2 linked regions of the Astyanax mexicanus genome follow. The protein of the gene in region 1 interacts with the protein of each later gene in a pairwise test. Links are inferred from orthologs where the notes say so. Each region holds a gene or a part of one and is shown on either strand. Other genes may lie near its edges.

Evidence for each region.
Region 2: the proteins of plxnb3 (region 1) and arhgef11 interact in a two-hybrid assay, tested with the Homo sapiens proteins (2 studies listed by BioGRID and IntAct). The link is inferred for Astyanax mexicanus from reciprocal best matches to the Homo sapiens genes PLXNB3 and ARHGEF11.

What each region holds. Positions count from the first base shown.
Region 1 is NC_064419.1:4,447,732-4,454,056, reverse strand, and holds the start of plxnb3 (plexin-B3), read right to left. Parts: upstream 3,774-6,325; 5' UTR 3,563-3,773; intron 1-3,562. UniProt on the Homo sapiens protein: Receptor for SEMA5A that plays a role in axon guidance, invasive growth and cell migration. Stimulates neurite outgrowth and mediates Ca(2+)/Mg(2+)-dependent cell aggregation.
Region 2 is NC_064415.1:12,358,196-12,364,520, forward strand, and holds the start of arhgef11 (rho guanine nucleotide exchange factor 11), read left to right. Parts: upstream 1-2,770; 5' UTR 2,771-4,372; coding exon 4,373-4,407; intron 4,408-6,325. UniProt on the Homo sapiens protein: May play a role in the regulation of RhoA GTPase by guanine nucleotide-binding alpha-12 (GNA12) and alpha-13 (GNA13). Acts as guanine nucleotide exchange factor (GEF) for RhoA GTPase and may act as GTPase-activating protein (GAP) for GNA12 and GNA13.

The sequences.
Region 1 (6,325 bases):
ACTGTATACTCGTCTTTCTCTCCCGCTCTCTCATGAGCTGCAAGTCCCACCCACGCTGAAACATTATTGGCCAGCTAAGCATGAGGAGAGGCCAATCAGGATGCTCAGGATTTGTCACTCTCTCACTATGGGTGTTTATTTCTCTTTCTCGTACGGTCGCGTACGGTACATTCTCTCGCTCTATCACACATTAACGACAGGTTTACAATAAAAAAAAAAACGCCTCAACTATTCTTTATAGTCAACATTGTCGATAACGCCGACTAATCGCTGCAGCCGTACACAACTCACACACACTCACTAACTAACACACCCCCACCATGCCAATCAGTGTCACTGCAGTGTAATTATACTGTACAAACAATGTACACTGATGAATATGGAAAACCCATAATCCATTTGCATTGTTTGGATTGGAGATTGGCGCTCAGCTTCTCTGAGGAAGTGCGTTGACTTCCAGTTTACGACGTTCCATTTATGCACCGCAATCTGCTGTCCTACAGCAATGATCTCACACACATACAGAGTCAGAAATCATTTATTACCTTTCCAAATTATGTTCCCGCTCTATATAACTGCGCTTTATATCAGCATCATTCAGTAACAAACTATGTTCCTTGTTTTGTAAATGATGCACAGAAAAGCGACGCCCACACCTCTTAATAAAATAAGGTGTAGCATTTTGGGTAACAACACCAACTTCCCCATGGCAGACTAGGGGTTTAATTCCCTGACTGAGCAAACACACCACTCTACATTACTTCTGCATTCCTTGTCAATGATTGACCGTATCCAATTATATCATCCTACATAATAGGACTGACTGTGACTCCTGACTGTAAGTGTGGACCAACCGATGCTAAGAGCTCTCAGAACTCAGCATGACCATCAAAAACCATATGATGAAACTGGCTCTCATCAGGAATACCCCAGGAAAGGGAGAGCAAGAGTTTTCTCTGTTGTACAGGATAAGAGTTACCAGCCTCAGAAACCGCACTTTTAAATGTTTTGCATTGTAGATTTATACTGGTTATCCAAACTACAAAGAAAAACATAAGTCTACCAGAATATTTTTTATGTTTGAGATTTTTCACAGTAGGCACCTCTTGCTTAGATGACAGCATTTTCTTAGTTTTCTCAGATTTATGAGTTAGAGCAACCTGAAATTTCAGGCTTACAGTTATCAGGCTTGCAGTCACCGCAAAGACCATTAAAATGTAATGATGAAACTGGCTCTCATCAGGAATACCGCAGGAAAGGAAGAGCTAGAGTTTCCTCTATTGCACAGGATAAGAGCACATAAATGCTTCACAGAGTATTTTTTAGGTTTGTTCAACACTTTTAAGTTCCTACTTGATTCCTTATGTTTTCCTTCATAGTCTGGATCACTTCAATATTCATTTACTATGCAGGAACAAAAAGAAGAACGTTGAATGAGAAGGTGTATACAAACTTTTGACTCTTTTGGTACTGTACATGATACACAAACACACACACACACACACGCACACACACCAAAACACTCATAAATCATGGTTATTTGTTTAAGTACCACTACTTCTAGTGATTTACTGTTAAATACTGCCCTGTTCCACTGCTGTTTTATTGTGCAGACTATGGAATAAACTGGGAAACACACTGACCTGATGCCACAACTCAACTTAACGTCAGAGGGAAATTAATATACTTGAATTAACTCACATTACTGAGATCATTTAACACTAATTAATCACAAACAAACACAATAAGGTTTCATTCCCCACTGTAAGAGTTAATCCAGCACTTAGTTATGACATGTGTCCTTTCTACCCCAGTGCTCTACTTTCATGACCCAGTCGGCTTTTGTGTGTGTGTGTGTGTGTGTGTGTGAGTGAACAGGCCGAACTCTCGAAACTTCAGAGAGTTCACAGTGAAGTCTTCACTTCATTACCACCCACAGCCCTCCACTGACCCCCGCAGTGTTCACTCCACTCATATAGCTCTGAAATCAAAGAACTGCTTCAGTCATAAAATGTGATTTACTCTTTTATCCTTACCACTGATTGGCTGAAACATGCCGTATGAAGTCCTATCACTTCTATGCAGTGGAGTTTACATTGGAGTACTACAATACTATACGACTCACTGGAGCATAAAAACATGAATTTAATGTAAGGCAAAAAAAGGTAAAAGCTCGAGTAGCATGAAGTTATCCAAAAGCAGTGTGTAAGACTGGTGGAGGAGAACATGATGCCAAGGTGCATGAAAACTGTAATTAAAAGCAGGAATATTCCACCAAATATTGATTTCTGAATAATGAACCTGTTTTCTTTGCATTTTTGAAGTCTGAACGCTCTGCATCTTTTTTGTTATTTCAGCCATTTCATATTTTCTGGTCTCTTAATTTTTTTCCAGAGCTGTATATATGGGGATAAATAAAGTTTGAACCACTCCATCTGATTCAGCTGTTTATATAAATTTTTGACAGTTCAGCTTTAATCGAGAACAAAACAAGAATTAATTTTTGTACAAGAATGCCTATTAGCTCACTGTTAATTAGATTTACTTTACTTAAATTAAATAATTAGACTTTACTGGGTACTGGAGTTGAGTGAGCAATGACAAAAAGTACCAGTCAAAAGTTTGGAGACACCTTAAATTCAGTGGTTTTTCATTGTTTTAAAATGTTCTGCACTGTAATACTAATGTCATTCAAACTATGAAGCAAAACACAACAAACAAAACCCACAAATTCGTACAGCTCTTCATGCTTTCCTCTGCTAACAACTTTTATGAAGATTTCATTTTCCAGCAGGACTTCTTGGCAAATTGCCCACACTGCCAACAGTACCAACTGGTCTTATATAATATTCTAATTTTTACGTTTTGAACTGAATTACTGAAATGAAGGAACTTTACAATGATTTTTTTTAGTAAACCTTGCTGTTATCAGCTGAGCACTGGAGGTTGGTGCAGGTGGACCGAGCGCCCTTCCTGAATCTCCCCGGACTGCGCGCACTGCTTCCCCGCTGCCTGCCTGTCTCTCTCACCGGCGCTGGTAAAAAACACCCGGAGCTACCGGGCATGAGGAGGAAAGAATGCGAGCTATTCACCCTCCTCTCCCGGCCGGCTCAGCTTACACACACCGCCGCAGGCTCCACCACACCACCCAGCCGGGGCACGAAGGGTCAACAGACTGCGTGACTTTTATTAACGTAAACCAAGATATATAGGTTAGATAAATATATATCTTATCTTAGTTTGGGTTTATAGATATTAAAGTTTCCAAATTAAATGCAACATATCGACAAAACAACTACAATAACCTTAAACAATGTTTCATAAACCTGTTTTTATAATAATAAACCGGTTAACATCTACTAAAACTAACTTTAAATTAGAATTTAATCATACCACCTTAAATAGAGCAGCATCCCATTGAAAGATACCGGCGCCTCCAGGCGACACAACGCAGCCGCTGCCCCATTTAAGGTGGAATTGTTAATTCGCAAAATTAGACTATTAAAACAACTTCAGTTTCGCCTCAAAAGCACAAAATATTAAGCCGTAAAGTGTCTCTTACCGTCCGCAGCCGATAAAATAGCTGTGTTCCCCGTCTGGATAAAAAAAAATACTGCCCGGTATATAGAGTCTGTCCAGGGTTCTGGAGTGTTTTATTCACGCGTTGAAGCAGCAGAAATGTGTCCGCTGGAGGGTCCTCCGCCCCCCGCTGCTGCCGCTGCTGCTGCCGCCGCTGGAGAGGAGCGACACGAAAACTTCTCCTAAAACGAAGGTGTGGAACCCACAATGCAACACGTGGAGTTGGGTGGGAAAAAATTAACCAAATAAATAATAAAAACACGCTGGTTCAGTGTGAAGATGCGGCTGGGTGCACGCGCGTGGCTTCAGCGCCTCCCATTGGTCCAAGTGGAAGCGTGCTATCTGAATGAAGAATGATAATTTATTACCTCATTCAGCTCTGTAAAAAAAATCAAAATATTATAATTTAGAGCATTTATTTGCAGAAAATTTGAGAAATGGCTGAAATTACAAAAAAGATGCAGAACTTTCAGAGAACAAGTTCATATTCATAAAGTTTTACGAGTTCAGAAATCAATATTTGGAATGCTTTCATGCATCTTGACATGTTCTCCTCCACCAGTCTTACACACTGCTTTTGGATAACTTTATGCCTTTACTCAAGCAGTTCAGCTTGGTTTGATGGCTTGTGATCATCCATCTTTCTGTTGATTATATTCCAGAGGTTTTCAATTTGGTAAAATCAAAGAAAAACATCTTTATTAATTGGTCTATTTCTTTTTTTGCATACATACACCATTATAGGATAAAAGTAAATTATCCTCTGCTGCACTGTACAAAGTATATTTTAAGTATAGTTGAGTATATCTGAAGTAATGAAATACAAATCTGCCCAACACTTTAAATCAATTATGTTACAAACCTTTGACGAATAGTCCACCTCCATTAATGTCTTAGACTGTGGGTTGCAGATTACATTGTGGATATTTGATACTTTAATATATGGTAGATACATCATATTAGAATAAGTAATCGTAATTAGAATGAGTAATTAGTAAGTAATTATTCAGAGAAAACCCAAAGCACTGTACCACTTCTCTGGTAATGCTCTGTCAGGCTTTTACCACAGCTGTAAATCTGTTTATCTGTCTATAAGACATTGTTCCAGATCTGTGCAGGGTTTTAGGTGTTAGTGAATCTCCTATCTGGTCTTCCTGTGCTTGAGGTTCACCACTGCTTGCATCCTGTGGTAGATGTATGCATGTTCTTAGGGGAAGTCTTCTGTAAATAGTTGATTTTGACTCAGATTCACCTACAGCTTCTTGATGTGGCTGTCTGAGTGATAGAAAGGGTTTTTTCTAAACAAAGGAAACAGTTCTGACAGCTTTCCCCACAGTTCATTTCCATGGTCTTATGGTACTTTTGCATTTCTTAGTTCACTGGTGTTTTTTATTTGCTAGATTTGGCCACATCTTATGTTTTCTGCATCTTTCAAGATGGGTTTCTTTTACATTTTCAGGCAAAAAAAAAATGGTTTTGCCAGCAGTGATGGCTTTTTGAATTTCACATTTAAAAATGAGGGTGCCCTCGTGTCTGTGCTACCATCTGGCAGTTTTCCTTTTAGTTAGGTTTTTATAGGCAGATCTGTTGGAGTTGTTCTGATTATCAGATAGTCTGTTCACATTCTCTGTTCTCCATAATTCCAAACAGAACGTTATGTTTACATTTTTCGAAAGTAAGGACCTGTATGGGCTGATATTGTACAAGAGAGTTAACTCTTCCTCTTCCGGTCCTGATGAGTGCCAGTTTCATCATACCATTTTTAATCGTCTTTGCAGACGCACTTGAGGATAATTTCAAAATTTGTAAACTTTTTCGGCCTTCATTTCTTAAGTTTTATTAATTAGTGTTAATTACTGTATACCAACTCTACCTCTTAAAAAACTGATGCTCTCAAACACTCTTGAGTTCAGCACAGCTGTTAACTGAAGGCCATTACCTCTGAAGGCCATGACTTCCAGGCAAGAAATTTCAAGATGTGCAAAGCTGTCATCTAAGTAAGAGATGCTACTTTAAAGATTTAGAAAATTAAGCTTGTTAAAAAGAATTTATCCTGCTTTTGTTGGAATAACCGTCTCTACTAGAGTTTGGAGAAGAAGCATTGCTATAAGCATTTGATTACTTTCAGCGACATAAGCATAAGTGAGGTCAGTATGTTGGAAAATCATCACCCTGCTTTATCCAAAACTCATCCTAAAAGTTTTGGATGGAGCTCCATTGTTCCAGAGAACATAGACTTACTGCTAAACAGATAAATGCTGTGGGAGCTTTATACCTCTTTACCTGGCGTTAGACACTGTGCCAGTAGATTCATCACAGGTTTATCTGCTCCAGAATGTCCTATTCTTTTGCCGATACTCCGTACAGTATTTGTACATCTGTGTCAGCAATGGGTTTAACTTTAATAGCTGAATGCAACCATTAAAACAGGTGTCCAGAAACACTTTGACACAGGGGCAGGTTTCCCAGTTCCCAAAATGACTAAGCCTAGTACTGGACTACACAGGATTTTAAATGAAGATCAGCCACTGAAAGGAAAGAGCATTGTATGAATAGGCCTAATCTCTGTCCGGGAAACTGATCCACAGTGTTTATTTAGCATGCACATTAGCAAATTACTAAGCTAGCCACTATAAACAAGGTTGAGTGTATTCAGGCCATACAGTAAAGCCAGAAATCGATTTAAATATTTCTGTTATTGTAGTATTTTAACATAACTATACTGAAAAAAAACTCAAACAAAGTG
Region 2 (6,325 bases), on another chromosome or scaffold:
TCTTGAAATACTAAGTCGTCATTTTAAAGTCACTATTTTGAGATACTAATTCCTTATTTTGATATTAAAGTAATTATTCTAAAATACCAAGTCCTTATTTTGACATACTAATCATTATTTTGAAATACTGATTTGTTATTTTGAAATACTATCCTTGTATTTTGAGGTACTAAATCGTTATTTTGAAATAATACGTCCTTATTTTGACATACTAAGTCGCTATTTTGAAATATTATCCCGATATTTTGAGATACTTAAGTTATTACTTTGAGATACTAAGTCATTATTTTAAGATACTAATTCATTATTTTGAGATACTTAGTCATTATTTTGAGATACTAAGTGATTATTTTGAGATACAAAAAGAATCAGTCTGAAAGAATCAGAAAACTGATCTGATAAACATTGACCATGTCCACCCTGTTGAGATTAAATATGCTAATTAAAATTCAAATGTATATTTAATACAGAACAAGGTCACCATGAAAAAATCTGCAACTTCAATTCTCTGAATTTGAGGCTTAATGTGAAAATAAATAAACATCTTTCTACTTTTCCACTTCTCACTCTCACGGACAGAATTCCAGGAAAAATAAAAAGAATAATCTTGATTTTTCTCACCCAGTCTGATGGTAAAATACAACCTACTCATCTAGGATGCATAAATGGAAATGTAAATAATCAAGTAAAGATTCAGCTTTATTTTCGCTAAAATTCTGATAGTGAGGAGTGGAAATTAACCATTTTTTCTTTATTAAATAGGGGAAAAAATAACATTGACGTTTTGCACCCAGTTGTCTATTTTAGAATTTAGACCCAAAATGTAAAAATAAAATGCTTAAAATTCAACTGATGTTACACTGACCCAAGTAGATTTTCGTTTACACCCTGGTGTGCAGCTTACCATGACAAATGCATGTAAGTGAAAATTATACTTTATAAAATGATTAGGTAAATATATGTCAAATATGTCAAATGACCAAAAGAATTAGAAATGTCGGTGTTGTTGTGTAGGGGCGGGGCCACAGCTGAAATCTGATTGGCCCCCTGCAATGCCCCTGTCCTGTTACTCATCTGTCCTTTGCCCAATTGCAGTGATCAGATTCCAAGGGGATTCCCAAACACTAGAGGAGCCAACTAGGGGACAGCTTATGTAAGAGAGATGTTTTAAACTTACAATATTTTAAAAAAAAAAGCAAAACAAAAAAGTTTAAAAACAAATTGTATAAAATCATATTTCATCTATGTACAATAAAAATACATGTTAATTTGGTAAAGAGATTTTTATGGAATTAATTTTGTGGCAGAAATATGAAATCTGCAATCAAAATGGCAGATATATACAGAAGCAAAAAAACAAAAAAAAATGAGATTTCAGAAGCAAAAGACCACCGAAATGAAACCAAAGTGTAGGCACATAATTTCCAAGAAAATTCAAAGAATAATCAAGTAAACAAATATAGTTATAAATATACATTTACATATATTTTGTACTGTGTTCAACTTGCAACATACACTTTTAGCCTTGGATTCTTAAAAAAAATGATTGCACATAATTTTTAAATTAAATAGATTTTACTGTGCAAGCTTTAATAACTTTTAGTTAATAAACTAAAATTGCATTCAAGTATTTGAACATGCTGTTGACTGGTGAAATAATACTTACACTTATATTTAAATATTGTAAAAAAAATGTCTTGATCTTTAAATGTTTTAGTGGTCATGATTAAGGTTCTCACATAAAACCTTTTTTATTTTATAACTAGTTTTTATTTTGTAAAACCATTTAAAGTGATGCACAAACAGCTGTTTCCTTTACATTTAATAAAAATAAATAATCGTTTAAATAAATAATAAGCAGTTCCCTTTAACCATACCTTGAAATTTTGATTTAACCTCATGTTGTGTTCCAGGTCAATTTGACCCGTTTTAAAGTTTAAAGATCTAGAAAAAATAGTTAAGAGTATTTTTTCAGTATGAAACTTCGTCTGCTTGTCTTAGTTAGTGTAATCAACATATAACATGATAATGGTTAATCTCACATACTTGCAACCACCCCCTGCAAAAAACTAAAACTAAAACAAAATTGCAATGTTATGTTTTAATGTTTTGTAAAACTATTGTTTTATATGTTGGTCTTTTAAAAGTAATAAAGTAGTGTAATAAAGTTTGAACATGTATTTTTTAATGAAAAATGAGTTATTGAGTAATTGAAGCATTACCTGTTAAAGGTAAGGAACACCATTGCACTCAATATTAATATAATAATTAGCAATTAATAAAAAATATATACACTGTAAATAAAAATGTAAGCATTTTTGGGGGGGTTCAGGTATATTTTGGATAATTCAACATGCACCGGGTCAAACTGACCCTGGGACTGGAACACCATTGCTGTTCCTGGCAAATGAACGCAATAGAAGGGGTTAAAAATGGTGAAAACATAGGGTGCTTGAATTTCAGTTAAGGAAACTATAAATTATGAAATTTACAATTATCACTGCCGAATAAACAGTTATTTAAAAGTTCTTTACAGGTTTCTGATAAAAGCACAAGCCTATATACTGAGAAAGATGTATTAAAACAGTAATTTGGCAACTCTTTGAATATTTTTGCCCGCTGACTCGCCACTGTGAGGGTCAAAATTCACAATATTGTCATACTGTCCCAAACAGTATTCTACCAGGGTTATTGTCCTAGTTTCTGTACCCCGGTAGGTGTAGCGGTTGTGGCCGGTAGATGGAGAGCTTGAGCGGGTTTGTGTTCGCCTCTGCAGGCAGACAGACTGACCAAACACAAACCCACGGCTGATGGTGGTGCTGCTGGCTGTGGTGGAATGGTTTCGATATCCAGCCAGCAAGAGAGCAAACAACCAAGCAAAAGCGCCGGGTTCTCACTTCTGCTAAAACACAGCAGCAGCAGCACCAGGGCACATAGCTAGCTAGCAGAGTCTGGAGACCCAGAGCCGGAGCAGAGGGTCTGTTCCCCGGTGACAGACAGAGCGGAGCTGGGCGAGCAGGACAATGGCATCTGAGCTGATATGGAGCAGCTGGAGGATCAGATGAAGAAGCTTGCTGGCTATCAGAGCCTGAAGAGTTGCTATACCAGCGATTGTATCACTTGATAAAGACTTGTAGTCTGTCCTGTTTTGTTTTATGCCCTTTCTGCGAGTCCTGGATCCAATCCCGTTCCCGTTAAGCTGAATATCTGCAGAGCTGCTCCTGACCAGCGTTAATCAAACCTATCATTTTGCACGGGCCTCGCTGCCGCCTCTTGGACCGCCGTGAAGCCGATGGAGGAGCGGTTTCGAGCGGACGGCGTGTGTACGCGAGAGCGGGGATTCGGTGTGGCCTGGAACACTGGAGGAGATTTCTGTTGCTAGGCTAGGCTAGGCTAAGCTAATGCTGCACTGAAAACAACAACAGCAGCAGCAATTCGACTGAGCAGTGCAGTGGAGTGGAGTGGTGTGCATTTTATTGGTCAGCTAGCTAACACATTTAACTAAAGGTAATTTTTATTTATTATTTTTAGAAATAAGTAGCTAAATATCTACGCAGTGATATTTAGCTGCTTTAGCTTAGCTAGGTTAGCCAGCCAGCTTAGCTAACTAGCTATATTATTAGCCACATAGCTAGCTAGCTTGTTTTGTAGCCCACAGTAATCTATATCTAACAGTTGGATTTTTACTAAAGGAGGTGTGTTTGGTGGATGCACTTTAATTAAATATCGTATCACTGTGTAATAATTATAAATAAATATACATTTTTGTAGCTATATTTGCTTGTAGCTAGCTAGTGTGGAAGTCTGTGCAGCTGCAGTGACCCCAGCTAGCCAGCTAACTAAGCTAGGTTATGTAGGTTATCTCGAAGTGACATTTATCCAGAATTTCTGTAGCTACTTTTCTTTTCACACAGCAAACATTTTAACACAATTGTGCTTTTATAAGTCAGGACCAGACAACTGTGGTTTTTCTGTTTTGTGGCAAATTTGTTCCAAGTGTGTTGACATCTCCATAATAAGTGCAAATTAATGAACAAGATTCATGACACTGACCTAGTGGACATCTAGTCAAAGCCACTGAATTCAAAAACAAGAGATTGCCCAGCTCTCCTCCAGGCATGGACCTTACGGCTCCTCTATGCAATGAGAAGATGAATGGTAGCTAGTAGATAGAACCATTGAACCAGTGTCCCAAATGAAACTTTGACTGCTGCTCCAGAGAGACAGAGAGAGAGAGTTGTGCTGGAGTTGTGAATGAACCCAGGAAAAAAAGAAGAGCTGAGACAGACCCTTCACACAAGGAGATGATGACTGAACATTAACCATATTTCGCTACACAGACGAGTGGACAAGCTTCGGAAGGTGTGCAGCCATGAGTGTTCGACCTCCGACATCTACTTTGGACAGGTATGTGGTTGCTCCATCTCTGAATGGGTGAGTGGTGGCTTTTCAGCAAGGCCAGAGGTCTTCAACTGGTGTTTTGGAAGGTCAGAGCACAGATTTGTTTGTTTTTGCACTGCTTGCACACTGTAAGCCTCACTGCTTAGATTATAGAGGAAGGAACTTGCTACTCTCTGCAATTCTGTGTGGCCTTTAAAAACTATTTTTGGGCAGAAGGTTACTCATAGGGATTAGAGACAGGGCTAGGACATGAATGCCCTGTTACACATCTGGAGGTAGAGCTGCGCACAGTATATACAAATGTCAGTTTTACATACTACGAGAGTGATTCATTCAAATATCCACAGCACTCTTCTAGAACAGTGATTGGTCTGGATGCATGCTGTGCACCCAGTAAAAATCACTGCAGTTGGTTTTAGGGCCTACTTGTATGTTGCTGAAGCTTTTCTAAAATAACATTTGCCAAAAGGTCAGAACATACAGTTGTGCAGAATACACTATGAACACGTGGATATTAATCTGCAAAAACAGGCTGTACTAAAATATAGCCTGTGTAGACTATCTGCTCTTTCATCCATTCCATTCACACAGAAGTTATAAGTAATGTGTCAGCCAAAACAGTCTAAAAAGGCATTGTAACAGAGAAGAGAGACATATCAAATATATCAAGACTTTTAGTAACAAGAAATTGTTTTGGTATTGGAAATAGTGAATCTGTTCAGGTCTGGTTGGCACCCATTTCATCCAATCAGACTCTACTTAGCTAGTTAATGTCAAAGCCCCAACTGTATGACTGACCCAAGAGACCTCTTCTCAAACAAGCTCCAGATGGGTTTGCTTCAGACAAAACTTATTTTTGCTTTACTTGCTTTAGATGGATTTTTAGGTAATACACCAAAAATAGAAATTCTTAGCTGTAAATAAAACTGTATTTCAAAATAAAACTAAAACCATGCAGTAGGTTGATTTAATGTATTTACATAAAAGCTATCTGAACTGCTAGAGAGGCAAAATTTGGCACAGCACCTGGAATGGCAAGTCGCTGAACTTGACAGCATGTTAACACCTGATTCATGACCCGATGCGTTAGAGACACTCTGTCTAGTTAGGTGTTGACAGTAGGACATTCAGGAAGAAAGTTCTTTATTAACTGCAGTGTGAAACCAAAACCAACTAGATCCAAAGTACGCAGTGTAACAAACGTGAACCTTCATTCAGATTTTGGTCTAGACTAATTTGACTACCTTAGGGAGTGCATTTATTTGTTTATAGTTATGTTTCCAAACGGGATGTACACTCATGTATATAGTTGAATTTATCGAACACCTGTACTAGAAAGATGAGACATCCAGAAGGAATGAGGCCATATTTGTGGTTCAGTGGTTGTATGAATTCATTCAAGACCTTCACTTCACTAAATTATATTATGCTGCCCTAGTCTGCCTTCCCATTCCCTTTCTACATTTCTCCTAATTTTACATACCAGACTTTGATGTTCAGACAAATCAAAAGATGCTGATTAGCAGGCCTGGCATGTTTCACTGGGGTCAGAGCTGGGTTTTCTTTTTTTCGCCTACATGGTTGAGTTCCTGGAGGATGATTGGGTTTCTTGATCTAAAAGAGGCTTTCTTTCGGTTACAAAAGATAAGATGATGTACGACCACCCATGACTCCTGTATGTAACTGGAAACATGGACTTTTTTTTTACCAGCTGTTGTCGCAAACATGACATAACTTGGCACATGCGGAGATTAGGCCTTAAGTAGTAGGAAGACTTAAGTATAGTCTAAAAATGCACCCCTAAGGTGTGTAGTAAACTCGCAGTGATGGTACTGGTTTTTCCACCTTTGTGAATGTTCGCTAGTGCTGCTGTTTGTTTCCGTATTTGTAGCTTGACTTGTAGATTCTGCATGACAATAGTCTG